7 linked regions of the Oryctolagus cuniculus genome follow. The protein of the gene in region 7 interacts with the protein of the main gene of each other region in a biochemical or structural test. Links are inferred from orthologs where the notes say so. Each region holds a gene or a part of one and is shown on either strand. Other genes may lie near its edges.

Region 1 (4,020 bases), on a different chromosome or scaffold from region 7:
CATAAACTCTAAATCCCCCTATAAAGTAGTAAATCAAGCACGGATGCACCTCAACTTACGAAGGTGCTACGTCCCAATCAAACCATTCTAAGCTGAAGATGCAGTTAGCAGCCCCGGCCTCCACAGGATACCATCATCAGTACAGCGACTCGGGGCACTGAGAATCAGGGTTTACCCTCATGACCTCACGGCTGTCTGGGAGCCTCAGCCTGCTGCCTCTGGCTGGCACCGTGACAAAGGACTGCACTGCATATCGCTAGCCTGGGGAAAAGACCAGCGTTCAATATGCTGCTTCTATTCAACATGGATAGCTTTCACAGCATCAAAAAATTACGAAATGCTAAGTGGGGCAGGCACCGTGGTGCAGCTGGTTAAGCTGCCTTTTGCAACATCCACATTTCACATCCAAGTGTCTGGGGTCAACTCCCGCCTCTGCTTTCAGATCCAGCTTCCTGTCAATGCCTGTGGGAGGCAGAGGATGAGTCCTGGCTCCTGGTGCCTAGCACAAGCCTGGCCCTGCCCAGGCTATGGCAGCCATTTGGGGAGTGAACAAATGGATGAAAGAACTCTCTCTGCTTTTTATTTTTAATGTTTTTTTCTTTTTCTGTTTATTTTTGTTTGTTTCTCTACCTTTTAAATAAGTAAAAATGAATAGATATGAAAAAATTTTGTAAGTGGAACCATCCTAAGTTAGGGACCAAATGTACTTTAAAGTCTTCTTACTGATAGCGATAATTGAACTTTTTTTCAAACCATCAGTCCAACATTACTAATCACATCACACTGATATGGAAGAGAAATGACACTACATAAAATTTTCCCACTACTGATAATTGTGGTCAAAATATTCCAGTTTGAGGTGGTCAGCCATTTCCAGAAGACAATTTATAGTCACCAACTCATTTTACAAAGATCACTAACCCACTGTCACATATAATTAACATCACCACCAGGGCCAGGTGGGGAACTGTTTTCTGTCAAGGGCTATTCGGATACTTTTAACAATATTCATGGACCACACAAAATTATTGACTCAAAAGTTGGCCTGCCACAGATTCATTGCTTTTTGAGTGCTGCCTGCACTTGCCTTGGCAAGGCCAGACCCAGTGATTTTGCCAGTCTTGTGGAGCCTGGGGGCTGGATGTTCTCCACCCCGATCTAGACATTATCTCTTAAGGATCCGACTTCAACCCACAAGATTCAAAAAGTTTCAAAAGTTACTGTCAACATCATAACCAATGACTTTTGCTGGATTCTGACACTGCAGTCGTCTCTCTCATTATACAGGTCTCTCGGAGAAGAGTCTATAGTGAAAAATGCAATTTTAAACAAAACTATAAATTAGAACCACAGACAATAAAGTAAAATTGGATGTCTTCTATACTTGTCAAAGATAAAAATAGTTATGATGGGAAATTTTGATTTTGAAGAACCTCTTAAAATAGTAAGATCAAAATTTAACAAATCAACACAAAGAAATTTGTGGAATCTAAGTCTTCAGACCTAAACGTCTAGCAATTATACAGGAAAAGAACACTGGATCATAATTTATTTGAAGGTATAAATAAAACCCAGAAGTTAACTTACCTTGGCAGTGCCCTGCCTGGCTTCTCCCCATGTTAACACCCACTCAGGCAGGTGCCTAGGCTGAGCCTCTGCCCTCCACCTCCTGACCTGCTCAGAGCTCCTTAGGAGGAACCCCCACTGAAGATGAATCTGCTTCCAGGTAGCAGAGTTAAAAATTTACAGTAAGGGCCGGTGCCGCGGTTCACTTGGCTAATCCTCCACCTGCGGCGCCGGCACCCTGGGTTCTAGTCCCGGTTGGGGAGCCAGATTCTGCCCCAGTTGCTCCTCTTCCAGTCCAGCTCTCTGCTGTGGCCCAGGAGTGCAGTGGAGGATGGCCCAGGTCCTTGGGCCCTGCATCCGCATGGGAGACCAGGAGGAAGCACCTGGCTCCTGGCTTCGGATCGGTGCAGTGCGCTGGCCGCAGTGCGCCAGCCATAGCGACCATTTGGGGGTGAACCAATGGAAGGAAGACCTTTCTCTCTGTCTCTCTCTCTCACTGTCTAACTCTGCCTGTCCAAAAAAAAAAAAAAAAAAAAAATTTACAGTAAGATTTTTGTCTTGAATTCTATTTTAATGTTTTAATTCAATGTACGTTTTCTTGACTTCACCTTCTTGTTTTTTATTTACTGTGTTTTTTTAACCAGCTCTATTGATACATGTAACTGACCTGCAAAAACTGAACCTATTTCCAATGTGTAACTTGAAAAGTTTCACGTCTGTATACACCCATGAAGCCATCACAGCCAAGGAGGTGAACGTGTCCATCCCTGCCCAGCTTTCTGTGGCCACTGCCCACTGCCGACTCTCTCTTCCCTGCCCTCTTCACCTGCCAGCAACTGCTGGTTCAGACACTTGCTGTTCCTAAGGATTGGTTTGAATTTGGCTGGTCTTTTATATAAAAGGAAACAAAGCTTTCAACAAGTTTTGAGACTCATCCATGTGGTAGCATGATCAACAGTTCATTCCTTTCTATTAAACTAGCCAAATCTCACACAGCCCTCTTTCAAAGACTCAAAATTCTAATAAGAAGAATTTTAAATGATTCTGCTTAAAGAAAAAAGTCTGCTCAAGACATATTCCATAGTTTTCTAAAATGGACATTACTTTATATGCATATATTTTTATCATATGGCATTTTGGAATTCTGTGAATGATCTTGTTACATCAAGGAAACATGGCTGAATGTTTTCATTTGTGCCTGACACTGTCGCAGACTTTGTGACAGTATGATGCTAAACACAAATCTCTAAAAGTTAATAATTAACTGACAGGACATATTCATTACATAAAATCCCACTTAAAGGTAATGATATTTGTATTACCTTAAATATGAAATTTCCCCTGTGATATACCTAAATTGTACACAGCTGTCACACATAAATTTATAAAGGAAACTGATGCTATCTTTTAAAATGGGAAATTTCTATTAAAACTGAAACTGTGCCTCACACACACACACACACATTACTGGTCAGTTTCCTCATTTTAAAAGCACCAATCCCCTCTACTTCAAATGGAAGACAGAATAAGAAAAAAGATAAAAGGAAGAGAAATATTACCTGTTTTCCTAATTTTCTAACAGTAAACCAGTGTTCTTTATAATTGCATATAAATGACTTTTCATTTCTGGAAAGCAAAACAAACACACATATACAATATTAGGCTGAAATTTCAGGAGTTTATGTTCATTTATTTTGCCAACTAGCAAGCATTATACACAATCTGCGTTAATGCAGGACTGCATTTGCAGTTCTGTGCCACTGACTCTGAAGAACGGCACGATGGTGTGAGCCAGTGTGCAGCAGCTCAGACATGCGGTGCCCAGACAAGCCGCCCGAGGCGCCAGCCAGGGTTGGCACCGCACTACGACCGCAGTCTGGGAGGCCCAGCGATGTGCAGGTGCTCACGGACATCAAAAGGGGAGGTGGGAAACGTGTTTTTCTCCTTTAAAAAATTATAATTTAAAAAAAATTGAATTTAGGAAAAGAAATGTAGAAAAAAACAAAAACAAATCTTACATGGGATCAATTCCGAGCCTTTGATACTCTGGACTGTTGAACAGGATTAGTTCCAACCCCCAAACCTTCAAGGCATTGCTTATAACCTGTTAAAAAACAAACAAACAACAAACAAACAAAAAACAGCAACTTTCCATGAACTAAATCATTATTCCAAATTTAAGTAGTGTAACCATATTAGTTGAGCAAGCAATTGTACTTCATATATAAATTTACCTAAAAGGCTATTTTTTTAAAAGATTTCACTTTATTTATTTGAAAGGCAGAGTTACAGAGAAAAGGAGAGCGATCATCTGTCAGCTGGTTCACTCCCCAGATGGCTCCAACAGCCTGGGCTGGGCCAGACTGAAGCCAGCAGCCCAGAACCCCATCCAGTCTCCTGTAGGAGTGACAGGGGCCCAAACACCTAGGCCATCCTCTGCTGCTTTCCCAGTAC
Region 2 (4,020 bases), on a different chromosome or scaffold from region 7:
TTGGCTGGCCCAGCCCCTCCTCCACTGAGGTCTCGTCCCCTTGTCTAGGAAAAGCAGTTCTTCCACAAGGTCAGCGAGCGGCTGTCCCGCCCCAACATCTTCATCCTGAACAACCGCTGGGATGCATCTGCCTCAGAGCCCGAGTACATGGAGGAGGTGGGTGCCGCGGGGCAGTCTGGGGGCTGTGGCCCTGTGAGCACTGGCCCCGGTGGCCGCTCCCTGCGCTCCCGGGCACAGGTGTTTGACTTCCCTGACTTCCTTTCATTGCCAAAGATTCCCCAAGTGTTCCCCAGGTCTCCGCTGGCTTTGGAAACGCTCCCCCACCCTTTCCTAGGTGGGTCCCTCAGTCAGCGCTCTCCCCCAGGTCGGGAAAGCAGCCCCAGCGCAGTGGTGGGCTCTGTTTGGGGCCAGGTGCTCCTTTTGTTCATAGGTTCTCAGTACTGACCTGGGCCGCGTAGGATGACGTCAGGAGAGAAGAGCAGAGATGGCTGGTTCTCACTGACAGTCACAGCTCACTTTATGAGCGTGAAAAGAAAGAGAGGGCAACAGATTAGCAGTGATGGCTTTGCTCGATCAAGTACGCACACCTGCGGGTCAGAGGCCACGTTCTGGCCTGCACGGGGCGTTGAGACTGCGGTGGGCTTCTTAGCCCTCCTGGTGACGCATCTCCTCCCCTGTGAGCTGGGCGTCCCGAGGGTGAAATCTGTTGGAAGCACCTGACGCTTGGTGGGCGTCTCCACTCGGCTCTCAGTGGGACCCCAGGATGTGGGAGCGAGGAGGGACTTTCTGTCTAAGGCCCAGGGAGGACTCGGCTGGTCAGAGCGCGAGCCCGGGCTTAGATTTCTTGCCCTGCGAGTGCCTTTCCTTCCGGGGCCCCCCAGCGAGGCAGGTGGGGAATGTGGGAGCGTCCCTGCTGTGTACACGGGTTCCTGCTGTGTACACGGGTTCCTGCTGTGTACACGGGTTCCTGCTGTGTACACGGGTCCCTGCTGTGTACACGGGTTCCTGCTGTGCACACGGAGAGTATCTGGCAGGCCGTGTTCCAGGAAACCCCCGGGGAGGACACGGGTTCCCCCAAGCACGGGGCTGGGGAGCAGCGGTGGTGGGAGACCTCTCACTGTGTGCACCCTGGCGCCTTTGAACCTCGAGTTGTGTGACTACACTGTATTCTAGAGAGGCGGTCCAGGGAAGGCTGCGGCTCCGTCAGAAGAGCCGGTCACATACACTCGCCTGTTTGGGCTCCAGGTGCGGCGGCAGCACATGGAGCGGTGCACCGGCTTCCTGGTGGACGAGCTGGGCGTGGTGGATCGCGCTCAGGCCGGGGACCGCATCTTCTTTGTGTCTGCCAAGGAGGTGCTCAATGCCAGGATCCAGAAGGCCCAGGGCATGCCCGAAGGAGGTAACTATGGGAACAGACAGCCTCCTCTTCCCTGACGTCTGAGGGTCTGGGCTCCAGCCAAGTCAGTCGGTAGAGAGTCTCTCTAAGGACAGGAAGCTGCAAGACCTGGAGCGAGGCTGTCTTGGCTGTCCTGCCGGTGTCCAGCCAAGTGCCTGCTGGCGGCGGCTTTCGGGGTGGTTTCCACGTGGCCTGTTTATCTCCCCACCGATGCCGTACTCTCCTCCCAGGGGGCGCTCTTGCTGAAGGCTTTCAAGTGCGGATGTTTGAGTTTCAGAATTTTGAGAGGAGATTTGAGGTGAGTCCTTTGGTGCTGGTGTCTGGTAATCCTGTGCCTTCTGAGCTCTCCCTTGCTGCGTCCAGGCAGTGAAAGGCAGAACCTGGCCCTTGGCTACAGGCCGGCGGCCCCCACCCCCCTCAGTGCCTGGCCCTTGGCTACAGGTGCCGCCCCCCCCCCCCCCCAGTGCCTGGCCCTTGGCTACAGGCCAGCGGCCCCCACCCCCTCAGTGCCTGGCCCTTGGCTACAGGCGCCGGCGGCCCCCACCCCCCTCAGTGCCTGGCCCTTGGCTACAGGCCGGCGGCCCCCACCCCCCTCAGTGCCTGGCCCTTGGCTACAGGCGCTGGCGGCCCCCACCCTCCTCAGTGCCTGACCCTTGGCTACAGGCCAGCAGCCCCCACCCTCCTCAGTGCCTGGCCCTTGGCTACAGGCCAGCAGCCCCCACCCCCTCAGTGCCTGGCCCTTGGCTACAGGCTGGCGGCCCCCACCTCCCTCAGTGCCTGGCCCTTGGCTACAGGCGCCGGCGGCCGCCACCCCCCTCAGTGCCTCTGCCTGTTCCAGGAGTGCATTTCTCAGTCTGCGGTGAAGACCAAATTCGAGCAGCACACGGTGCGGGCCAAGCAGATCGCGGAGGCCGTGCGTCTCATCATGGACTCTCTGCACATCGCGGCTCAGGAGCAGCGGTAAGAGCCCAAGGCTGCGGACGGGCAGAGAGGGCTGCCGAGAGGTGGTGCCCTCTGCCCCAGCCCAGGCCGCCAGGCCGTGCCCGGCTGGCAAAGCGCAGTCCCTGAGCTCCCGTCCAAGGCCCTTCCCCAGCTGCCAGAGCGCCTTAGAGCCACATGAACGGCCTGGCGAGGAGGGCGGCTGGGTGCCTGGGCCCCGTGGCCTGTGCAGCACAGTCGTGGGTGTCAGAGACCTCAGTCTGCACCTGTAGAGCGCGGCGGCTCTTCTCAGAGCCTGGACACGTGTTGTGAAGCCAACATTTTTACGAGAAACTTAAAATACAGCAAATAACAGAGAATGATATAGTACACTTGCTTCTTCCAACCAGAATTGACAATGTTTGCTTTATATTAAGTTATAGCAGTCTCACCTCCCACTGAAAAAGTACTCTTTTTTTTTTTTTTTTAAACATTTTTTTTTTCTTACTTGAAAGGTGGAGTGATAGAGAAGGAGAGAGAAAAGCAGAGAGAAAGGTCTTCCATCTGCTGGCTCACTCCCCAGATGACCACAAGGGTGGGGCTGAGCCTGGCACTGAGGTCTCCCACGTGGGTGGCGCGGGTCCCCTGCACTTGGACGTCTCCATTGCTTTCCCAGGCGCATTAGCAGGGAGCTGGATGGGAGCAGAGCAGCTGGGACGCAAGCCGGCACACGTGGAAGCCGTGTTGCAGGTGTGGCTTAGCCGGCCATGCCGCAGTGCCGGCCGCCACACGCTCCAGAAAAAAATTTTTTTTTGGTATGAGCAAACACTTATTTTACTGCACTTCAGTTATAAGAAAATAAGATTTCTAAGTGACTCAACCATAGGCAGTCCTTTGAAAGGCGCCAGCTCGCTGTGTCACTAAGATGGACCTGCTGGAATCTGATTGTTTTAAGTAAACAGAAGCGGGAAGAGTCGAAGGTTCGCTCGGATACAGCGTCAGGGTCCGCACTCTCCCAGCCGTCTCGAGCTGTGTCCTGGACGACGGGTGGCGGTGCCTCCTCGCTCTGTCGGGGGTCACTCTGGGCAGATCACTGCACTGGCTCTTTTCACCCGTTTTCTCCTTGGTCCTGGTTGGTCAGCGACTTGGTTATTTTTGCCAGGCTTCTTGGTTTTGAGTTTATGAATATTAATTAGTCCCAAGGTTCCACGTTCTGGGAACATTTCAGCAAAATTGACACAGTTGTAAGATTACCGTAAGCTGTATATTTACTGTTCACTTTAAGTTTTTGCAGGTGTCCCATGTATGGGATGGGGGGCATTTTCTTCTGGGTTGTTTCTGCTCTCTCTGCCTTCACACACCCCACTGCAGCGGGCAGCTGCCTGTGCACCCCCTGTGCAGCTGCGTGGACCCTGCGGGAGTCAGGCCTCGGGGCAGCTGCTCTGCGTGGACCCTGCGGGAGTCAGGCCTCAGGGCAGCTGCTCTAGGGTGGAGAGTCAGCCTTTTGGGTTTTACTTTGCTGCTCTCCACCACAGCTGTGCCCCGTTCCTCCTCCCAGAGGCGCTCCCTGTGGGAACTCCCATTTCCTTAGCTCTCGCCGGAACTTCAGACGTGGTCACTTGGGCCAGACTTCCCGGGGGAAAGTAGTGCTGCTTTTTATCGTTGTCGTGAGCGCTAGTGAGGTTGAGCTCTGGAACTTGTCCTAA
Region 3 (4,804 bases), on a different chromosome or scaffold from region 7:
GCTCCATTTCCAATCCAGCTCTCTGCTTATGGCCAGGGAAAGCACTGGAAGACAGCCCCACTGCTTGGGCCCTTGTATCCACATGGGAGACCCAGAGGAAGCCCCCGGCTCATTTTACATTTTTTCTAGTACATTAATATGTTACCAACAATTTGGTGAATAATGGAGAAACTTGTCTTGAAAGTCATTACTCACTTTTGTTTTTCATTTTATTTTTGCTCTTCGATATTCTTCTTATCTGCTTTGTCTCTTTCACATTTTTCTGATGTTTTAGAACCAGTAAAATCAAATTTGCCATTTCACTAACTCCTAGCACAGTGCTTATTTAATACACAGAAGATATTACATTTAACTTCATCTTAATTTCCTACCAATTTTTTTTAAAGATTAATTTTACTTGAAAGGCAGAGTTACAGAGAAAGAGAGGAAGAGACAAAGAGAAATCTTCCATCAGCTGGTTCACTCCACTTGGCAACGGCCAAGCTGGACCAGTCTGAAGCCCGGAGCTTCTTCCAGGTCTCCCACATGGGTGCAGGGGCCCAAGCACTTGGGCCACCTTCTGCTGCTTTCCCAGGCATATTAGCAAGTTGCTGGATCGGAAGTGGAGCAGCCAGAACAGGAACAGGCAGTGGCTTTACCCACTATGCAACAGTGCTGCATCCCCATCAATTTTTTTTAACAAAATTTTGTAAATGTTATGTGTTAGTTCAAATTCTTTCCAAAGTAGAAACTCAAAAATTCTACCAGTACTTTCTTTCTCATTCAGCAACAAAATCTGGAATTGTGTCAAGTTTGGTGCTAGGGACACAACCAGGCAAATCCCAGCTTTACAGGAATTCAAATCTAGCAATAGAAGGGTTAGGAAGAACAAGGAAACAAAAGTTTGATTCTGAGCAATGTGGCACAGTGGGTTAGGAACTAGTTCAAGCCCCAGCTGTTACACTTCTGATCCAACTTATGGACTAATGTGCCTGGGAAAGCAGCAGCGGATGGGCCAAGTACTTGGGCCCCTGGCACCCACACGGGAAACGCAGGAGACATTTCAGCAGCCTGACCTGTATATAGTCCAGTCCCAGCTATTGTGACCATTTGGGGAGTGAACCAGCAAATGGAAGATCTCACTCTGTCATTCTGCCTTTCAAATATATAAATAATTTTTTAAAAAAAAAAGTTGTTTTCTACCAACCTACCAAATATTTCCCCATTGTCACTTGAGAATTTTCCTGAATCCTTCCCTTTTCATTGTATACTTGCTGGACACACAATTTCAAGAGTTATCTACAGGGAAAGTATTGTGGCACAGCAGGTTAAGCCATCGCCTGCAATGCCAGACACATATGGGCACCTCTCTGTCACTCTTTCAAATAAAATAAATCTAAAAAAAAAAAAAAAAAAACTAAAATAACATTTCCTAGGAAGACATTCCTCTCCACCGTTGCCCATTGTTGCTATTTCAACTGTTTCAACAGTTACACTCAATTTATGAAAATTCCTTTTTGCCCTTTTCCTTCTGCAACTCAGCCTTACTTGAAAGATAGATCTGAGGTCTTGGCTTAGCTAAGCTGGAGAGACAAATATAATGGCTAACCGCAGGCTGCCTGAGTTTTTCATCTGAGCATTTTCTAGTTGTATAATCTTGGGTAACCTGCTTTACTTTTTCCTCATCCTGGTTTTTTTCATCTTTCAAGTGAGTATGATTACAATCTGTTTACTGATGACATGAGTAAACGAATTACTAATAAAATGCTAAAACAGTACTTTATTTAGAAGCATTTATTTCTTAGTTGTGATTAATAACATTTAATCTTCGTCTCTTGTAGGACAGAAATGGGTTTTCCTCATTCTGGTATCCCTCATACTGTTCACCATAGTGCCCTATATGTGTGTGCACCCAATAGCTACAGTTCAAAGAATAAAGTACCTTTATGTATTTTCACTAGTAGTCATTTTAAGAACTTAAGAACTAACCTTCAACAAAACGTGACCCTTCAGTAACAAACTCCAGTAACTGGTCGAAGATTGTAGTGATTGCCTTCTTAGCTAGCACAAAATGCTTCAGTGGAGATGCAGTTTCTGCCATTATGCTCCTAAAGGGAGAAACATAAAGTTAAAAAAGCACAAATTACAGAGTGATAATTACATGTAAATGATTAACACCGTCTAGGTCATTACCTCCCAAATGGAATAAATTAGGCAATTAAACTGCCAAAATATATTTAGGTAGTTGTTTTTCGGGGAGAAATGTTTTAGTCGGGCAATTAAAGACTACTATTCAAAGCCACTTCACTAAAATAAACGAAATTTGTTAGCCCAAGTTTCTACTTTATTTCCCTCTGGTGAATATGAAACTAATTGTGGTTGAAGTTGTGACTCCCAGTGAGTTTTAAGTACTTCAGGGAACTGAGCTACCAAGAAGCAAAGTTCGCAAACAATAACTAAGTTTCTCAACCTGGAGCTCTGTGAGGGTGGAAAGGGATATGCAGAGGAAAGACCCAGAATCCAAAATCACAAAGTAAAACTAACGTTTGGAAAGACATTTTCATCACAACAAAGCCGGAGACAAGGCTTACGCTTCCGGCCGCAGAACCAAAAACTTGGGTGAATGTTGAAGTTTTTCTGCCCCTGGCCGCTTCTCAGAAAAACACACACCAAGGACAAACCATTACGCCCCAGTCTAATCCTAGTCCGTGTGGAATGTGGCTCATGAAAAAGGCAGATCTTGCCAAGAGGGTCAAGAGAGGACGGCGCGAAGGGATAAGCGTGGGCTAAGCAGGGTGTGGGCAACGACCCGGTTCGGCCGGTGTGAACACCTACCTTGGGCAGAGGCCTTCCACGCCATACACACGGCCGCGGGAGCCTCGCCCGCAAGGTTCGGGGCCAGACCCCGCCGCCGCCCCACGCGCGCCGGCCCGGCCCGGCCCGCCGCCCTCACCACCACCCCCGGGCTCCAGCATCGTGGGCTCCGCGGGCCTGAGCCGGCCGCCGGCCCCGCTGGCCATCCGGTTCGCTCGCTCCCTTCCAGCAGGACGGCGGCGGCAGCGTCTCGTCACAGAGCGCTCCGCTCACGGCTCCCCGCCCCCTGTCCCCGGCCGCTCGAAGGTCACCCCGAGAGTCGCGAACCCGCCAGCGGTCGAAGCAGCTGACACTCACACGGTCCCAACTCCGACTGTCACTCAGCAACCACAGCTCGATCCAAGCTCTCAGGTTGCCTCATCCTCCCCAAAGAGGATATAAGCTAACTGGAGGCAGGAGGAGTGGCAAAAGGGCGGTCACTTCCGGTCCCTGGTCCTCTCCTATTCTGTTTGGTTCCGTGAACGGAAACGCGTCTATGCCGGCGCCATTTCTCTTGAGGGCAGAGGCAAAACTTGTTATGGGCAGGGACGCTCTTGGCAGGATAGTGGTTCGTTCCACCCTGCAACTTCCTTTCCTCCTCCCTTCTCACTTCGAAGTTCCCTAAAGCTCTGTCCATCTTAGGCGTAGCTGACTGTCATGGCTGCCTTAGGGAGAAGGAGGTGGAGTGAGGTAGGGTTAGGACGTCGTGAGACAGAAGGGACATCTGTGTTTGTGTGATTGCCTCTCTGGGGTACCTCTCACCCTGTATGTGTGTAATTACTTTACACGTCAGACCTGAAACTTGGTGTGTCCTTGGCTACTGTTTTTATTTTTTATTTTATTTAAATTTATTTATTTGAAAGGCACAGCTACAGAGAGAGAAAGGGAGAGACAGAGAGCTCCTCCATCCGCTGGTTAACTCCACAAATGGCAGCAACAACCGGGACTGGGCCGAGCTGAAGCCAGGAGCCAGGAGCTCCTTCCATATCTCCCACATGGGTGCAGAAGGCCAAAGGCATGGGCCATCTTCTGCAGCTTTCCCAGGCCATAGCAGAGAGCTGGATTGAAATTGGAGCAGCTGGAACTTGAACCTGCTCCCATATGGGATGCCAGCACTGCAGGCAACTGCTTTACCTGCTGTGCCACAGTGCTGGCCCTGGCTACTATCCTTAAACTTTGTAGTTAAGCTGCCCTTTGGTAGCTTTGGGATCCGCAAGGAGGAAGGCCTGTACTTCCAGGAATGGAGAAGTCCCTACCTGTACTTCCGGGGAAGAAAAGTCCTTGTCAGGGTCCCTGCGGGTACCTAAAGGTCAACCATGAGGATCAGACCCGCCTCAACCTTTAACTCCCATGCCCTGAATCTATAAAAGAAGCTCTCCCAATATCTGATGCACGACTTCCCCGGCCCCCGCTCTGTTGCTCTGTTGGGACCGGGGAACCCTGCCCGGGAGCGGAATCCTAATAAAAGCCTGTGAATTAATTGATTCGTCTGAGCCGGCGCCGTGGCTCAATAGGCTAATCCTCCACCTTGCGGCGCCGGCACACCGGGTTCTAGTCCCGGTCGGGGCGCCGGATTCTGTCCCAGTTGCCCCTCTTCCAGGCCAGCTCTCTGCTATGGCCAGGGAGTGCAGTGGAGGATGGCCCAGGTGCTTGGGCCCTGCACCCCATGGGAGACCAGGAAAAGCACCTGGATCCTGGTTCCTGCCATCGGATCAGCGCGGTGCGCCGGCTGCAGCGGCGGCCATTGGAGGGTGAACCAACGGCAAAGGAAGACCTTTCTCTCTCTGTCTCTCTCTCTCACTGTCCACTCTGCCTGTCAAAAATAAAAAAAAAAAATAAAAAAAAAATTGATTCGTCTGCCTGGGAAGATCTGTTATGCGCCAGACACCTTACACCCTTAAACTGCAAATCTGGGGTCAGCATCACAACCCCAGACTGTTTCTCACAACCCTATCAAAGTGCTGCTGCTATT
Region 4 (4,486 bases), on a different chromosome or scaffold from region 7:
GGAGAGGGAAGACTCTCACCCCTCCCCCGAGCCTAGACCTCCCCAGAGGCTTGAGCTTTGCCAGTGGGGAAACTGAGGCAGCAGGCACACAACAAACTCCGCCAGACACCAGGGCGTGAGGTGCTGAGGCTGTCTCCCAGCCTGAAGCCCCAGCCAGGGCTTGTGTGCTAGGAGGAGAGGGTCCCCTGGGCCAGAGACGTCTGCCGTCTGGACGGTGCTGCTGGGCTGAGGGCTGTGTGAAGTGGACACTGGCAGAGCCGGAGCTGCAGCGGACTCTGGGCTGCAGAGGGCTGGCCAGGGCCAGGGAGCGGCTTTCTGTGGCTGCTGGGGGAGTGGCAACACGAGGTCCACCGAATGAAGGGCTCCCTTGTTCCCCAGCCGTGGGCCTGCCCTCCCCTCCAGGTGCCAGTGGCTGGAGGCCCCGGAGCGGGACCGGGGCCTGGACAGGGGGGCCCAGGCTGCTCTGCCAGGGGACGCAAGAAGGGAGGGTCTGTTTGAGGGAGGTAAGGGCCCCCTGCCGCTTGCATGCCGGCCAGGGGCACTCCGGTCCACCTAGAAGGGTTTGCTGGCAGCGCTCAGGCGTCCCCTGGCGGGGTTCCTGGTGTGGCCACACCAGGGGCAGACCCGAGCTGATGGGAATTCTCCAGCCCTTACTCCTGCATGGGTCAAAGCAGGCGGTGTCCCCAGGGACGGTGGGGGCGGGCCCCACTCCATCATCTTCCATGGGGGTTGCTCTGGGTGGCCTGCTGGCGGGGCTTCCAAGTTTGGAGTTGGACCGAGGAGGGTGACCCTTTCCTCCTCTCCCCCTCCCCCTCCCCCAAGCCGCCGCCGCCGCCTCGCGAGAGAGGTGGGCTCTGCCCTCGCCTTCTTCCCTGCATGGCGGGGAAGACTTCCCCAAATACGCACCCGCGCGCCCGCGCCCGCGCCCGCGCACGCGCATGGATGTTATCACCATGGGAAGGGGAGAGGGTGCGTCTGTGGGCACCCGGGAGGTGCAGCGACACCGCCCGGAGGTTTGCGGACGGCACCTGGGAGGCAAGCGCGGGTGCCGAACGGGGCCCGCTGCACGCGGTTGCGCGTGGGTCCCGGGAGGTACGCCAGCGCCCTCTGGCGGGCGGCACCGCGACAACCACAGACGCCCCCTACCCCCACCCCCACCCTCTCCGCGGGCCCGGGTCCCGCCCGCGTGGGCGTCCCGGCCCCGACAAAAGCCCCACCCCGACCTGCCCGCTGTGCTGACATCCCGACTTGAGGCCTCGCGGGCCCCGCGGGGCTCCCGGCGCACGCGGCGCCGTGGCCGCGCCCGCGCGCTCCGGCGCTCCGGCTCTCCGCCCCGCGGCCCCGATTCCCCGCGGCCGTTTCCCGGCGACGGCGGGCGGGGCCCGGCCCGCCGCCCCCCTGCCGCGAGCGCCGCGAAGCCCCGCCTCCAGCGCGGGTGCGGGAGCCGGGCCTGCCCCAGGCCGCGACGCAGCTGCCGGCGCTCGGGGGCGCAGCGCAGAGGCAGGGGCATGGCGTGGACCGCTGCCACGGGTGGGCGGCATCCCGGCTCCGGCCCTGAGTTTGCGTGCGCGCCGAGCGGAGCCGAAAACCAGGCTTAGGGGCAGTCCGGGCCGTGAGTCCCTCGCGAGTGCCCGGGTCCACGCGGCCGGGCAGGGTCACCAAGGGGGGGGATCGCCGCCATGGACTCTCTGGCAGCGCCCCAGGACCGCCTGGTGGAGCAGCTGCTGTCGCCACGGACCCAGGCCCAGAGGCGGCTCAAGGTGTGTGTGTGCGTGTGTGTGTGTGTGTGTGTGGACGTGGGGCAGAATGTGGGTCAGTGCGTGCGCGCCTGCCCAGCTCAGGACTGTGTGAACCTGGGGACGTGGCGGTGGCTGGCAGGGCCAGGGTCCGCCGGGGGGTGGGGGCTGGGACCCCGCTCCCGGGCGGGGGAGGCTCCTCGCCGCTGGCTATAAATAGCCCCTCTGCTCTGCCGCTGCCATTGCAGCCGCCGCCCCCACGGCTGGATCCGGGCCAGGAGGGGCCGCCTCCCAGGGCCCTGGCCCCGGAGCAGGGGGTGAGTGTTGAGGCTTGGCCTCTTCTTGGGCCCTGAGTGTGTCCCAGGCCAGGTGCCTTATACCCAGAAAGGGAGGACACTTGCCTGTCGCCATCCCCGCACCCGCACATGCAGTCTGGGGTTGGGGGGGAAGGGGTCCTGGTTGAGGTTGGGGAAGGGGGTGTCTGCCCACCTCCACACCTTTGCTGTTTTCACCGACCAGGTACCCCACTGCTGGCACTGCTGTCTCCTCTATCCTGTAGGCAACAGGGCGTTTGGTTCTCCCCCATACGCCCTCACCTGTCCCCCCCTTGCTCCCTCCTAGGACATCGACAAGCAGTACGTGGGCTTTGCCACACTGCCCAACCAGGTGCATCGCAAGTCGGTGAAGAAGGGCTTTGACTTCACGCTCATGGTGGCGGGTGAGTGGGCTGGGCTTGGGGTCCCTGGGCCAGCCAGGCTGCATCCTTGGTGGTGGTGGTGGTGTGGGCGAGTGTGTGTGTGTGTGTGTGTGTGTGCATGCGCAGATCTAAGCTGACCCCTTCACTTGTACCGGTGGGCAGGTGAGTCCGGCCTGGGGAAATCCACACTGGTACACAGCCTCTTCCTGACCGACCTCTATAAGGACCGGAAGCTGCTGAGTGCGGAGGGTGAGTGACCCACGGACCCCTGCCACGTGACCAGACACCCCCCCACACCACGAATGGCACCCTTCCAGGTCCAGCACCCTCTTCCTCAAACAGCATAGGTCTCCTGTGCAGGGTCGACAAGGGGGTGGCCCTGATGGCAGTCAGGCGGTGTGGCGGGGGGGGGGGGTCGGGGTAGCCCTCCCCCCTCCACACAGGGCCCCTCCCCCTCCCCCAGAACGCATCAATCAGACAGTGGAGATCTTGAAGCACACCGTGGACATCGAGGAGAAGGGGGTCAAGCTGAAACTCACCATTGTGGACACGCCGGGCTTTGGGGATGCCGTCAACAACTCTGAGTGGTGAGCAAGGGCCTGGTCCACCCTGCACCTCCCCTGGGAGCCTTCCCTGCCCGGCCGGCAGCCTGGCCTCATGCTGGCACCTTGCCCCGGCCCCCAGCTGGAAGCCCATCACGGACTACGTGGACCAGCAGTTCGAGCAGTATTTCCGCGACGAGAGCGGCCTGAACCGCAAAAACATCCAAGACAACCGCGTGCACTGCTGCCTCTACTTCATCTCCCCGTTTGGGCACGGGTACGGGTGTGCCGCCCCGCTGGGGCGTGGGCGGGGCCAGGCTGGGGGCGTGCGCAGGGGGCGTGACGGGACCAGGCTGGGCGTGTGCACGGGTACGGGTGTGCCGCCCCGCTGGGGCGTGGCGGGGCCCGGGCCGGGCTGGGCAGGGCCAGGGGGCGTGGCGGGGCCAGGCTGGGCGTGTGCAGGGGGACGTGGGCGGGGCCAGGCTGGGCGTGTGCAGGGGGACGTGGGCAGGGGCCAAGCTGGGCTTGTGCCATCACCGTGCCCCCCTCTCTCCACACGCAGGCTGCGGCCAGTGGACGTGGGCTTCATGAAGGCCTTGCACGAAAAAGTCAACATCGTGCCCCTCATTGCCAAGGCTGACTGCCTGGTCCCCAGCGAGATCCGGAAGCTGAAAGAGCGGGTCAGCCCTGCTGGGGCGGAGTGGCTCCCCAGGGACGGGGGGGGGGGGGCGGAGTTGGAGACAGCCAGGGCCACCTGGCCAGCCACTCCAGCCCGCCCCATCCGACAGCCCTGGGTGTCCCTCCACTTCCACAGATCCGGGAAGAGATCGACAAATTCGGGATCCATGTGTACCAGTTCCCCGAGTGTGACTCCGACGAGGATGAGGACTTTAAGCAACAGGACCGGGAGCTGAAGGTGAATGTTCCCAGAGCTCCCGAGGGCGGGGGCTCTGGGGGCCTCCCAGCAGCCAGAAGAGGGGGCAGGTACGGGGCACCTGCTGGAGCCTCGGCAACCGGGGAGGCACTGCTGGGCTTTGGGAGGCGGCGAGAAGCCAGCAGGCGAGGACAGCACGCTGGAGGGGCGCCCCCAGGCTGAGCCTCTCAGGCCTGAGCACCTGCCGGGTGGGCTGAGCCCTTGCTCCCTCCCCCCAGGAAAGCGCCCCCTTTGCAGTCATTGGCAGCAACACCGTGGTGGAAGCCAAGGGCCAGCGGGTCCGGGGCCGCCTGTACCCCTGGGGCATCGTAGAGGGTGAGCTGGGGCCGGGGAGGGTGGGGTGGGCTGGGGTAGGGCCCGGGAGGGGCAGGTCCCCTCGGGGTGGGCGCTGGCCCACCGCCCGCCGCCCACACCCGCCGCGCGCTCCTGCCCCCCAGTGGAGAACCAGGCGCACTGCGACTTCGTGAAGCTGCGCAACATGCTCATCCGGACGCACATGCACGACCTCAAGGACGTGACGTGCGACGTGCACTACGAGAACTACCGCGCGCACTGCATCCAGCAGATGACCAGGTGG
Region 5 (3,230 bases), on a different chromosome or scaffold from region 7:
GGTTTGTCGGGGTGGGGTTTTTATTTTTTAAGCCGTGGGAAGCGCACGGCCTTACCTCAGCGGGAGATGGGGGTGGGGGCAGGGAATTGTTTCAGTGTGGTTCTCCAGCCTGCGCTACCGGGTGACACCCTGCAGGCGTGGGCGCTTGTCGCAAATAAAAGGAGAGCTGCCCCCGAGCCAGCGGCCCGTGCTGTCCCTGTCGCCAGCGGCTGCATTCCGGAGTCTGGTTTCTCACTGCTGCCCGAGACGGAGCTCTGCTCCTCAGCCACGACATGGCCACGTCCTGGCTTTGCAAGGGCGGATACACGGCCGGGGTGCTGACCGCTGAGATACAAAATCGAGCGGCAGCTTGCCTGGCTGACCTTGACGTCCACCTTGCTTTAGGCAATAGCTGTGTTCCCAGAAAACACATAAATCGCAGTCTTCCCCGGTGACCTTGCCCTGCGAAGTCTTCTCACATCAGGGTGTAAGAACGGAAGCAACATGCAGTCCAGCCGCACTCGTTTCTGCAGTTGTAACTGCATTTAATGTTGCACTGTAGGGCACCAGCACGCCTAGAACACCAGAGCTAACTCCCACGGCGTTTCTCCCTGCCGCTGCGCAGGATTCATGCGGTAGCAGGAGGAGCAATGCGCTCTCCAACACACCGGGCTGTTGACACAGACTGCGGGCGTGGTCCACCCGACCCCCAGCCCCTGCAGGCCTCCCACCGAATACACTGCCTCATGCAAGTGTGCGCCTCTGCCCAGGTGGCCTGTGTGGGTGAGGCCAGTGTCACAGCCGCACTGGCCAGGACAGCTGCTGCCTTCGGTGTGGACCCTCCGCAGCCTGGCTGCGCCCTGCTGTTCACCTGTGTGTTTGTTCGTCTGACCCTCTGTGGAAAGCTGACCACACCCTCGTTTAGAGCAGTGTCTAGTTTTGTTAGCCAGAACCAAGGTGCACACGGCTCACAGTGCCCGTTCCGAGTCACACAGCTGGGGTGAGGCCACTCTCTGAACATGGCCTCCCCAGTGGCTGCCCAGCCCCCTGCCATCCATCTCCGACCCCCTCCCCGCTCACACAGGAGCCCACCCTCAGCATGCACAGACCTGCACCACACAGATGCTGCCAGGCTCCCTGGTCGTCCCCAGCTATGCGCAGAGCTGCCCCGGGGCCGCCCTCCATGCGCGGAGCAGCAGGGCCGCTTGGCAGAGCGCCTCACACTCCAGGCTGGCCAGAAAGAGCACCTTCATCTTCGTCTCCACACAGCTCCTCCCGGCCAGCATGGCGGCGGCTGACTGCTGGAGGAGCCAGCCCACCACCCGGTCCAGCTGCAGGTTCTTCAGCGCCAGGATCTGCTCCCCCCACAGGCTTAGGTGCAGCACGTTGGCGGCAACTCGGGCGGACGGCCTCTGCGACAGGAAGGGAAACTGAGGCTCGGGAGCCCGAAGCTGCCCAGCCCTACCCTCTCCCCGCTGACAGATCCTGGCTGCTGTCCCTCCATGTGTGCAGCACGGGGTGGGGGGGGGGGTAGCACACGTGTACGTGCGCCGGGGTGGGTGTGGCCTCACCACTCCAGGTGGGGCTGTTAACTATTAAACCTTCACCGACACCTCCCCTGGGCCGTGAGCGGTTGGTGGCAGGCGTCCCTCGGCTGTGCACCAGGCTGGCCCCAGCTCAGACTTGACTGTATTCCGTCAATGTTGATTTCACAACGTCCAGATCTGCTCTGCAGTGTCCCCGTCTGATTAGGTCTGGCTGCTTCCATCAGCCACGAGTCCCATTGTCAAGCATTTCTGAAAACTGCATCCTTTTCCCCCTTAGTGACTTCAAAAAAGACCTGTCTGGGGGCCGGCGAAGTGGCACAGCAGGTTAAGCTGCTGCCTGCCAACGCCAGCATCTCAGGAGCGCTGGTTTGGGTCCCAGCCGCTCCACTGCTGACCCAGCTCCCTGCCCGAGTGCTGGGAAGCAGCAGCAGGTGGCCCAAGAACTTGCCACCCACATGGGAGACCCACACGGAGTTCCAGGCTCCTGCTGTGGCCCGGCCCAGCCCCGGCCATTGTGGCCACTTGGGGGAGTGAACCAGTGGAAGGAAGATCTGTCTTGGCTCTCAGTGCCTCTCTCTTGTGTTTATTTACTTGAAAGCAGAGTGACAGAGAGGAGAGAGCACACCCACACACACGAGTGACTGATCCGTCTGCTGATTCAGTCCTCAAATGCTCACAGTAGCCAGGCATAGGCCAGGCCAAAGCTGGGAGCCTAGGCCCACGGCTGGGTCTCCCATGTGGGTGGCAGGGACCCGAGTAGCCAGGCCATCATCTGCTGCCCCCGGATGCGTTACAGGGAGCTGTCAGGCGCAGAGAAGCCTGGACTGACACCAAGCACTCGACGCGGGAGGCGGACACTGCCCACTGTGTCACAACACCTGCCCCAGTGACAAGGCAATTAAAGCCAAGAAAAGAACTGTTAGAATTCCAGAACTCTGGGGGCCGTGCTGCAGGGTAGCAGGTAAAGCCCCAGGCTGTGACACTGGCACCAAATGGGCACAGGTTTGAGTCCCGGCTGCTCCACTTCCAACCCTGCTAATGGCCTGGGCAAGCAGTGGAAGATAGCGCGAGTGCTTGGGCCGCTGCAGCCACATGGGAGGCCTGGAAGCAGCTCCTGGCTCCTGGCTGTGGCCTGGCCCAGTGCTGGTTGTTGGCGGTCATCTGGGGAGTGAATCAGCAGGTGGAAGATCTCCCTTTCTTTAACTTTCAAATAGATAAATCTTTTTTTTTTTTTTTTGACAGGCAGAGTGGACAGTGAGAGAGAGAGACAGAGAGAAAGGTCTTCCTTTGCCGTTGGTTCACCCTCCAATGGCCGCCGCGGCCGGCGCGCTGCGGCCGGCGCACCGCGCTGATCCGATGGCAGGAGCCAGGAGCCAGGTGCTTTTCCTGGTCTCCCATGGGGTGCAGGGCCCAAGCACCTGGGCCATCCTCCACTGCACTCCCTGGCCACAGCAGAGGGCTGGCCTGGAAGAGGGGCAACCGGGACAGAATCCGGCGCCCCGACCGGGACTAGAACCCGGTGTGCCGGCGCCGCTAGGCGGAGGATTAGCCTAGTGAGCCGCGGCGCCGGCCTCAAATAGATAAATCTTAAAAAGGATTTGAGAACTCTACTGATTTAGTGGCTTGCCCTCCCCCTCCCCCCGCCTCCGCCCCCCGGCCCCCCCCCCAATGAAATCTTCCAGCTCTCTGTATGGGGCCTTTGTA
Region 6 (4,020 bases), on a different chromosome or scaffold from region 7:
AAAGCTGGCTTTTCGCTTTTGTGTCCTCCAAACGTGGACGAGTCGAACTGCCTCCCGGTGGACTGCAGGTCCCGCGGCAGCGTGACCGACCTCCACTCTGCGTCCTTGGCCCCGTGCGGCACGCAGGAGGCGGAGCAGGAGCGCAGGAAGCGCTTGCTGGAGCCGCCGCCGCTCTCCTCTTCACCGGCCGCCAAGCGGCTGCCGGTCATTGTGCTGGACTTCTGCCACAGGTGCGGGGACCGGAAGCCCGAGCCCCCGGCCTCCCGGCAGGCCCCGTTGGGAACGCCGGCGCCGTTGCTGGCTTTGGGGGCCTTGGCTGGCTCGGTGGCGTCTGAGGGGGCGAGGGGCGGCGCCCCGTTGCTGACGTCCCGGCCCTCGTCCTCGCCGGGGCCCCTGCGCTCCTGCGGGCCGTCCATCTCTCGGAAGGAGCTGCTGCGCTTCGGGGGCGTCGGAGCCGTCTTCTTCTTCTTCTTGATCAAGGCGCTGAACAGGTTGGTCTTCTTGTCTTTGGGGAGGAGGCGCTCGTCCTCATTCAGGCCGCCGTCCGGGGGGCCTCGCTCTTTCCGAGGGAGCAGTGGAGACACGGCAGGCTCGTGGTCCAGGGCATCTGCAAGGCACAGGAAGCGGTGAGTGACCCCGAGCCGCAGCTGCCCCTGCGCTCTCCCGGGGCCCCGCCAGCTCGGCCACCTGCTGCTGCCGGCTCAAACGGAGCACAGGCAAAGCTCGGGCCGCGCTGCGGGAGGAAAGGTGCGTGGGGCTGTGGGGCTGAGGCTCGGCCGCTGGCCTGGAACCTCTCACCACCAGGCGAGGGCCCCGGTGCCTCAGTGGACAGGAGCTGGCGAGGGCCTGGCCCCGTCCCTGCAGAGCCCTCACAGCAAGGACAAGGCCACACGGCGCGTCGGAACGCTGGCTCCCGGACAGGGGGCCGTGCTGCCTGCGGGGAGTAGCCCGGCGGGCAGCCACCACGCTGGTCTGTGGGAAACAGTGATGCCCTCTGACCATTTCTAAATGGTTCTTAACTACCCAGAGTGGGGGGTAAGAGATCTTCCCGGAGCTGGATTCTCCCTGCCTGGTGGCTGGGAGGGATTCAGTGTCAGCCCTGGAACTCGGGGCGGGGCAGTGCGGTGTGGGGAGTCAGAGAAGGCCGAGGACCCCCACCGTAATCCGCCGAAGGGGGGTGAGCAGAGTGGAATTCCGGCGACTCAGCCTGCAACCCTCCTGGCCTGGGCGAGAACGCGCCTCTGAAGGCCCCACAGAGGGGCTCTGGCGGGCACAGGTGGGCAGGACCGTTCACCACTGGGCTTTCACCAGGTACACGACATGTTCCCATGGGGGCTCTCCCCACAGCTCAACCACCTGGACCCCCAACACAGGGGTGAGGGACAAAGGTCCTAGGGCATCCACAGGCCACGGCTTCCACAGCAGGGTGAAAAGAAGGCCTAGCCGGCTCTGGAGAGAAAGTCTTACATTTTGGGTTTATTTCTCATGTCATGCATATTTTGGGGTGCACACTGCAATGTACACACATTCGTGCAGCCATGTATAGCACACACACGCACACACACTCTCTCTCTTTCTCTCTCGGGCTGTGCTGACCCCGCTGCCTGGCCCACCCAGGACTGCTGGCTCGGGGCAACCACTAACTCAGGGCAGAGCCTGCACACAGGAGGCCGAGAGGAACCCTGAGGAAGCAGGAGGCCGCGGCGGCCGTGCGCTTCTCCTGCCAGCGCCCCCCAGAGCAGCTCTCCCCGCTGGGTCAGCAACGCTCCCTGTCCTGAGTGCCTGGGGAGAGCAGCCACACGTGCCGAGGGCCACACGTGACAGGCACCCACCACCTGCCGAAGCCTAAGCCAATGGCTCCTCGGCGACTCCCCGGGGAGAGCTCTCCCCTTTCCAAGGCTGGCTGCCGCCCTCCGTGCCTGGCCCACCCACAGTCTCCCATCCAGGTGTGGACGCTCCCTGGGCCTCCCGCGGGAGCAGGAGAGGGAAGGGGCGGGGTGGGTGGAGACGTACCGCTCTCGCCCTGGCCCTTGGAGTGGGGCGCGTCGGCGGCGTCGGCGGCTCTCCTGGCGGTTCTGGTCTTGGTGGGCAGTTCTGGGGCCTGCAGCAAGGCGCTCGCGGCCCCCCGTGCGCCCCGTCTCCCCAGCTCCTTTTCCACTTCTAAATCACACACAACACAAAGCCAGCAGCGTCAGCCCCGGGCCAGCTCTTCCACTAGGAGGAGAGTGGTCATCTCCACAGAGCTACAGCACAGGCACAGGTGCGCAGACGTCCGACGCCAACGCCTCTGCCCGCCGCAAGCCGAGGCCCTGGGCTGGAGTCCCACATGGGCGCCCCCAAGCCAACCTCCCCCGCTGGTCCCCCCACCCACAGGCCCCCTGGGGGTGGACATTTTACCATCTGAGATACTGGATTCTTGGAACATCGTTTCAAAAGCTTGGTGGATTTCAGCAAAGGAGGGCCGGTCTGAGGGACTCCACTGCCAACCTAGACAGACGAGACCAGGTCAGGCCACCGTGAGGCCGCGCCAGCAAGCACGGGGGGCCGGGGCCGGCACCCTCAGGAACAGTCTGGAGACCGAAGCAGCACTCAAGCCCTGCTAGCATCGTTTCCTGTGACAACTGAAACAGACGATCGCCACTGTGTCCTATTACAGACATGAAGACACTGGGATGGCGTCAGATGCTGGCAGGAACGGGGACTCCAAGCCCAGAGAGACGCTGACAGGCGCAGCAGCACCCACAGACGCACTCTCCCACTGCACTCTGGGAGGTGCAGCTAACGACTACACTTCCTGATTATCCAAGTTGGAAGCCCGCATCAGTAAAGAACGCTAATTAAAACAAGCCGGCACTGGGTAATTAACATGAATGACAGACGGGCAGGAATTCGGTGCAGTGGTTAAGACGTGACATGGGATGCCCATGGCCCACATCACAGTGCCAGGGTTTGAGTCCTGGTTCTGCTTCTGATCCAGTTTCCTGGGAGGCACAGGTAGAGGCTCAAGTCCTTGGGCTACTGCCACTCATGTGGTTGACCCTGAACAAGCTCCGGGATCCTGGCTGCTCTGCTTCCAGGGCAGCTTCCTGATAACTTGTGCCTGGGAAAGCAGAGGAAGATGGCCCACGTGTTTGGGCCCCTGCATCCACATGGGAGACCTGGAAGAAGCTCCTGGGTCCTGGCTTTTGGCCTGGTCCAGCCCCAGCTGTTGTGGCCATTTGGGGAGAGAACCAATGGATGCAAGGCCTGCCTCTCTGTCTCTCCCCCTCTCTCTATAACTCTGCCTTTCAAATAAATAAATCTTTTTCAAAAAAGTTAAAATGCCTGCAGTTATCAAAAGTACCAGTGTAGGAGCAGAGGGACAGGTGTAAGGATGTCCACTCCTGTCTTTCTTACAATGGAAAGACCAAACAAATATATAAAACAATCAATCGCTCATCAATAGAGAACTGGATGGATGAATGGATTGTTCAATGGAATGAAATAGGAGGAGGGCGAAGGGGACTTGAAAACCCAGGCATGGAAAGCCCACACCTGCTACTAACTCACAGGCACGCGCACACGCCCACACGAGCACGAGTGATGCCACGGCACGGAAGTGAAGGGGCAGTCCCGCCCCGAGGGGTGGTCCTCCGAGCACAGCACTCAGGGCTGAGGAGAAACCCAGGTTTGGGTAGGCAGCGTTTGTGCGCAATGTATGAACAAACACACAAGCATTAAAGAAAGTGAAAAAGATATACATCCAGGGGCCAGCGCTGTGGCGTAGCGGGTAAAGCCACGGCCTGCAGTGCCGGCATCCTATATGGGCGTGGGTTCAAGTCCTGGCTGCTCCACTTCCAATCCAGCTCTCTGCTAAGACCTGGGAAAGCAGCAGAAGATGGCCCAAGTGCTTGGGCCCCTGCACCCGCGTGGAGACCTGGATGGAGCTCCTGGCTTTGGATCAACCCAGCTCCGGCCGTTGTAGCCATCTGGGGAGTAAAATAGCGAATGGAAGACCTCTCTCTCTGCCTCTGCCTTTTA
Region 7 (4,516 bases):
GCACAGACTTCTAAACAATCCTCAGAAGCAGGCTAAAAATTGTAAAGGCCATATGGTCATCATCTTAGAACTTGGGACCCAAAGAAGAATTGCATATAATTACATGAAATCTTCCGTGTAAAGTTTGGTAAAACCTATTTTTTGGCACAATTGGACCTCATGACTTAAGAGTCATTTTTTATGTAAAATTATTAAAAGGCAATGGCAAGTAGCAGTACACAGGACATTCAACTAGAAATATAAATTCTGAGACTTTAAAATTTACTATAAGTGTGCAAGCTTTAAAAAAATATTTATGGGCAAATAGTTAGACTGCACATTCTCGAGGGCAGGGCACTTTTATGTTTCATACACTGTACCAGACACAAATAAGTGCTCAATTACTGGGTCTGCTTTTGTGAAACGAAGGCATTATAATACGAGGAGTGGCCTTTTTTTCTTTGTAAATTCATTTTAAAAATTAAAATACATACTGCTTTTCATCTATCAGGAAGACAAAGTGAAAAGTATGTGATGGCTCACAGTGGGCAAATAGGTGCTGCTATGAACCCTGCCAGAGAGGGGGCCAGCAAGGACAGCGGAGCAGCTGTGCACTGAAGGGCCTGGGTGAGAGGGAGGTGGGTGGCAGGGGAAATGCAGTCAGGGACTGCTGCTGCCAGCTGAGACACTCCTGGAAAGGACGTCTTTCGGTAATTTTCAGCCTAAGAGGAGCAGACCAGCTCCTTGCTACCTTGCTGTGATAGTAGAGGGCTTAGACAGGAGTGTAAAATAGGGCAAGTTATTTCAGAGCAATTTGGAAAAATCTAGCAAACTTCAAAATCATTCAGAAATCGTACTAAGATTTTTACTTTATGCTTACCTATGTAAGTGGAAAAATATGGCCACAAAATATAGCTGATTGGAGAGTATGCACATAACTATTGTAGCCTATAATTAAAAGACTAAGCAGGAATTACTGTGGGGGTAGATCTGTATATGCAGACATGTAAGTTCTTTGAGATGTTAAGTTGAACAAGGTATAGAAGAGACTGTGTTCTCACTATTGGATTTGTTATCAATCAAAAATCTTTCAAAAGTGTAAGACACTGAATTTTAACATCAGTACTGAAAACGTTACAACCACGTAAACATTTATTATTTAAACAACTAAATCCAGTTCTACAGGACATTTAGGGTATCTCACAAATATCACCATTAAGTTTCATTTTAAATACAAAGGTCCTTTGAAGAAGGTAGGAATATATTACTAATAGAAGTAGTCAAATTACATTCTAATTTGAACGTTCTTAAACTTTTCCAATACGTCTCATATATTCTTGAAGTCCTTCTCCATACTGCTCACAAAGGCACAATTTTTTCACCAACTTCAATTGAATTACGTTTCTGTAGCTGTCTGGGTCAGGTCATTTACCATATCAATCATAACGTGAGGGGGAAATGTAAGCACTTTTGAAACAGTCCACGCCAAGATGGGAAAGTTAAAGGAAAGTAATTTTATTGGATTGGGGTAACAATTTGTCCCCTTGCTCCTACCTTTCCAGGAACCTATCTTTTTCTTCTCCCTCAAAAGTAAGGCAGAATTTAAATAAAGTGGCAGAGTATGATTTGCATTAAGGAGGGTGTAGCAGTTTCGGAGGACATAGGTATTAAAGGGGAAGCTCCGAGAATCACTGCTACCGTTATCTTAAGAAAATCTCCCAATACATAAATGTTTTGCTCTCCAACTGATCAGTGAGTAAAGATTATGATGTATTTCATGGCTCCAAAGGGTAGTCCCGAAAACGAAATCCATCATGCCAGGGCTTCCTTTTGGTTGCTTTTACCTACCTTTAACACTGTTCAATACACCCAACTTCAAAACCGGCATTTCTGATTTTTCTTGAAATGTACACACTGACAGAATTAGTTAATGCATCTAAGGGAATAAAACAACTTACTGTACGTGGCGCAGATGGTTTGTATAGGTAATGCAGGTTTCTTAGGGGGACTGTGGACTTTATCATTTATGTTGCAAGGCACACTTGCACCATGTTAAACAACAGCTGTCATGGAAGAAAGAACTGTTTGTAAACCACCTCAGATTCTCCACGCAACCTAAGTGTTTTGTCCGTGACACTTGCCAAGAATAACCACGACTCTTACTAAACCTTCCAAAGCTAACCCAGAGCAATGAAACCCTTTAAATAGCCCTGGATGGCCCCTGAAGTGACCTTCGACCTCGCCACCCCGAGAGGCGCTGGCTAATCTACACCTGGCAGTGTGGAGCCACGACCCTAACAGCCACTTCCGAAGTTTCATTCACAAAGCCGCACCTACGTCATTTCTGTGGGTTTTTTTCCTTACTTCATTCTTTTTTCTTTTCTTTTTTTTTTTTTTTTTTTTTTTTTTTGCGAAAGGCAGACTTAGTCTCTGCGCTATTCACACTCGGGCGTTCACCTCAGAAGTTCGACGCCAAAGATCCGAGGGAGCAGGAAGGCCAGCTCCACCCGGGGGCGTCTCCTCGGCTCCCCGCCGGCCTCGCCGGGGCTTCCTCCGCGTCCGCTCCGAGCGGCCGGCGGCCGCCGCGGCCCGCGGGGAGCCACCGCACGGAGCGCCCCGGCCCGGCGGACCCGGCCCGGCCGCCCCGGGGCCATCGGCCGCGCTCGGCGGGCGCCCCGGGCAGGGGGCGGAGGACACGCACGGGTTCCTGGACCCCAGCGAGGCCCTGAGGAACCGAGCCCGGCGGCGCGGGCTGACCACGGCGCGGACACTTTCTCCGCCGCTGACAGCTGTCACCTGCCGGCCCCCGGGCGTCCGGGCTGTCCCGGGCGGCCGGGGCGCGGGGGGCGGCGCAGACAGGCTGTACCTTGCAGGCACCCACGTACCTATCATGGTCACTGGGCAGGAGCACGCTGCTGGGCAGGAAGGGGCCTACGCGCTCCCCGGCTCCCGCCAGCGCCTCCCACGAGTGGCGCTCCGGGGGTGAAATCCTCCAGGCCGCCCCGCCCCTCTCCCCCACGGCGGCAGGCCGTCGCAGTGCGCACGCGCAGGCGGCCCGGGGCCTCCTGGGAGTCGTAGTTTGAGGGCGTGGCTTCTCCTCAGGCCTGCGGCGGCCCGCCGCCCTTTCCGGCAGAAGGCCCAGGAAACGTACGTCACGGCGGGGCGGGGCTTGCGGCCCGCCGTGTTGACGAGTCGCCTAGCAACGGAGAGGCCCACCTTTGGAAGCTTGTTGCAGCTCTAGCCACGGTCCTGCCCTCTTCCCGCCCCTCGCCTCCCTAAACTCCCTTCACCTAGGAGCTGCCAAACATCGGGATCGACCTGGGCACCACGAGGGGTTGAAATTCTACCATTTACGCGCCTTTCCACATTGTTCCCGACCTCCTGCTCACAGCCGTAAAACCCACTGACTGTTTGACTACACTTTTGTAGGAGAACAAGACACTTTCTAGGAAGATGGTGGCAGAAAAAGAGACCCTGAGCTTAAGCAAATGCCCAGACAAGATGCCGAAGAGGACCAAGCTGCTGGCGCAACAGCCGCTCCCGGTGCACCAGCCTCACGCCCTGGTGTCTGAGGGCTTCACGGTCAAAGCCATGATGAAAAACTCAGTCGTAAGTGCCCTTCGCTCGCTCCGAGGCCGGGGACGCGAGAGGTAGAGGCTGGTGGCCTGGGATGGGCCTGGGATGGCCCAGGTCAGGCCAGGTGCCGAGGCTCCCGGGCCAGGGATGGCGTGCGCCCACGGGTGAGCATCTGCCCAGGCCCTCGTGGCTGCTGGGCCAGGCCAGAGTATGTCCTGAGCTGGTGACACGAAGCAAAGCACCCCTGCCCCTACCCATCCAAACCAGCCCCGCTCCGCCGAGGGCCCTTAGAAATCGTCAAATTGCGGCTGCTGACAGGCGCTGACAGACAGCTGGGAACAGAAACCCATCCAGTGAGCCACACTAGGACGCCTCTGTTTAACCTCGACTCCTTAGAGAACCCTAGCATTTACTCCATCAGCGTTCTTACAAAGTGGTTAACCTTACAAAATGGGAAACTGTCCCTCATAGGCCTTTTAAAGATCTTTGAAACAATCTAAGCTTTAGTTCAGGTGTCTCTGCCTTTTAATACCATTCACATTGCTATAGTTTGCGGTAATAAAAAAATTATATTCTCAATACTATTAAGAAAAAATATTTACAATACGCACCAGGTTATTTTGAAAAACCTTCTTATTTGTTACATAGTTTTTAATTTGCTACCCTAAGTCAGGTTTTGCTGAGAAAACAGGTAGCCACGAATAATCAAATAGTAAGTGCAGGATTCAAATCTATGAAATTCACCCGCTGGGAGGATCTGGTGCATTATCCGCTAAGTCGTCTGTTAAATGAAGAGTGGTGCTGTCCTGTCGCATTATTTGTTTTACCTCTTTGTTGCAAATGTCGTGCCATCTTCCTAAACCAGCTCCTTAAAGTACATGAATGGACCTGAATAGCGGGGGACCTTCAGGCCAGGTTGCCATGCTGCTGTGCAAACTGATGTTCGCACTTCAGGAATGTG

Evidence for each region.
Region 1: the proteins of PRKN (region 7) and ATXN3 form a complex in vitro, tested with the Homo sapiens proteins (4 studies listed by BioGRID and IntAct, with this or other methods). The link is inferred for Oryctolagus cuniculus from reciprocal best matches to the Homo sapiens genes PRKN and ATXN3.
Region 2: of the proteins of PRKN (region 7) and MFN2, one has a biochemical effect on the other in vitro, tested with the Homo sapiens proteins (2 studies listed by BioGRID). The link is inferred for Oryctolagus cuniculus from reciprocal best matches to the Homo sapiens genes PRKN and MFN2.
Region 3: of the proteins of PRKN (region 7) and MFN1, one has a biochemical effect on the other in vitro, tested with the Homo sapiens proteins (3 studies listed by BioGRID). The link is inferred for Oryctolagus cuniculus from reciprocal best matches to the Homo sapiens genes PRKN and MFN1.
Region 4: of the proteins of PRKN (region 7) and SEPTIN5, one has a biochemical effect on the other in vitro, tested with the Homo sapiens proteins (2 studies listed by BioGRID). The link is inferred for Oryctolagus cuniculus from reciprocal best matches to the Homo sapiens genes PRKN and SEPTIN5.
Region 5: of the proteins of PRKN (region 7) and PINK1, one has a biochemical effect on the other in vitro, tested with the Homo sapiens proteins (12 studies listed by BioGRID, with this or other methods). The link is inferred for Oryctolagus cuniculus from reciprocal best matches to the Homo sapiens genes PRKN and PINK1.
Region 6: the proteins of PRKN (region 7) and ABL1 form a complex in vitro, tested with the Homo sapiens proteins (2 studies listed by BioGRID, with this or other methods). The link is inferred for Oryctolagus cuniculus from reciprocal best matches to the Homo sapiens genes PRKN and ABL1.

Annotation. Positions count from the first base shown.
Region 1 is NC_091451.1:37,338,443-37,342,462, forward strand, and holds part of ATXN3 (ataxin-3), read right to left. Parts: intron 3,671-4,020; coding exon 3,585-3,670; intron 3,193-3,584; coding exon 3,126-3,192; intron 1-3,125. UniProt on the Homo sapiens protein: Deubiquitinating enzyme involved in protein homeostasis maintenance, transcription, cytoskeleton regulation, myogenesis and degradation of misfolded chaperone substrates.
Region 2 is NC_091438.1:156,486,792-156,490,811, reverse strand, and holds part of MFN2 (mitofusin-2), read left to right. Parts: intron 1-48; coding exon 49-156; intron 157-1,245; coding exon 1,246-1,399; intron 1,400-1,626; coding exon 1,627-1,694; intron 1,695-2,234; coding exon 2,235-2,356; intron 2,357-4,020. UniProt on the Homo sapiens protein: Mitochondrial outer membrane GTPase that mediates mitochondrial clustering and fusion. Mitochondria are highly dynamic organelles, and their morphology is determined by the equilibrium between mitochondrial fusion and fission events.
Region 3 is NC_091435.1:100,466,286-100,471,089, forward strand, and holds the start of MFN1 (mitofusin-1), read right to left. Parts: upstream 3,082-4,804; 5' UTR 3,000-3,081; coding exon 2,815-2,999; intron 2,088-2,814; coding exon 1,969-2,087; intron 1-1,968. UniProt on the Homo sapiens protein: Mitochondrial outer membrane GTPase that mediates mitochondrial clustering and fusion. Membrane clustering requires GTPase activity. It may involve a major rearrangement of the coiled coil domains.
Region 4 is NC_091452.1:27,463,361-27,467,846, forward strand, and holds the start of SEPTIN5 (septin-5), read left to right. Parts: upstream 1-1,407; 5' UTR 1,408-1,679; coding exon 1,680-1,760; intron 1,761-1,984; coding exon 1,985-2,053; intron 2,054-2,357; coding exon 2,358-2,454; intron 2,455-2,595; coding exon 2,596-2,682; intron 2,683-2,896; coding exon 2,897-3,020; intron 3,021-3,117; coding exon 3,118-3,252; intron 3,253-3,537; coding exon 3,538-3,655; intron 3,656-3,789; coding exon 3,790-3,891; intron 3,892-4,127; coding exon 4,128-4,224; intron 4,225-4,346; coding exon 4,347-4,482; intron 4,483-4,486. UniProt on the Homo sapiens protein: Filament-forming cytoskeletal GTPase. May play a role in cytokinesis. May play a role in platelet secretion.
Region 5 is NC_091438.1:150,126,670-150,129,899, forward strand, and holds the end of PINK1 (serine/threonine-protein kinase PINK1, mitochondrial), read right to left. Parts: intron 1,392-3,230; coding exon 1,131-1,391; 3' UTR 501-1,130; downstream 1-500. UniProt on the Homo sapiens protein: Serine/threonine-protein kinase which acts as a sensor of mitochondrial damage and protects against mitochondrial dysfunction during cellular stress.
Region 6 is NC_091432.1:233,496,530-233,500,549, reverse strand, and holds part of ABL1 (tyrosine-protein kinase ABL1), read right to left. Parts: intron 2,488-4,020; coding exon 2,398-2,487; intron 2,161-2,397; coding exon 2,014-2,160; intron 608-2,013; coding exon 1-607. UniProt on the Homo sapiens protein: Non-receptor tyrosine-protein kinase that plays a role in many key processes linked to cell growth and survival such as cytoskeleton remodeling in response to extracellular stimuli, cell motility and adhesion, receptor endocytosis, autophagy, DNA damage response and apoptosis.
Region 7 is NC_091436.1:6,000,010-6,004,525, reverse strand, and holds the start of PRKN (E3 ubiquitin-protein ligase parkin), read right to left. Parts: upstream 3,000-4,516; 5' UTR 2,872-2,999; coding exon of another isoform or gene 2,865-2,871; intron 1-2,864. Other genes in the region: PACRG (parkin coregulated gene protein), read left to right, coding at 3,433-3,588. UniProt on the Homo sapiens protein: Functions within a multiprotein E3 ubiquitin ligase complex, catalyzing the covalent attachment of ubiquitin moieties onto substrate proteins. Substrates include SYT11 and VDAC1.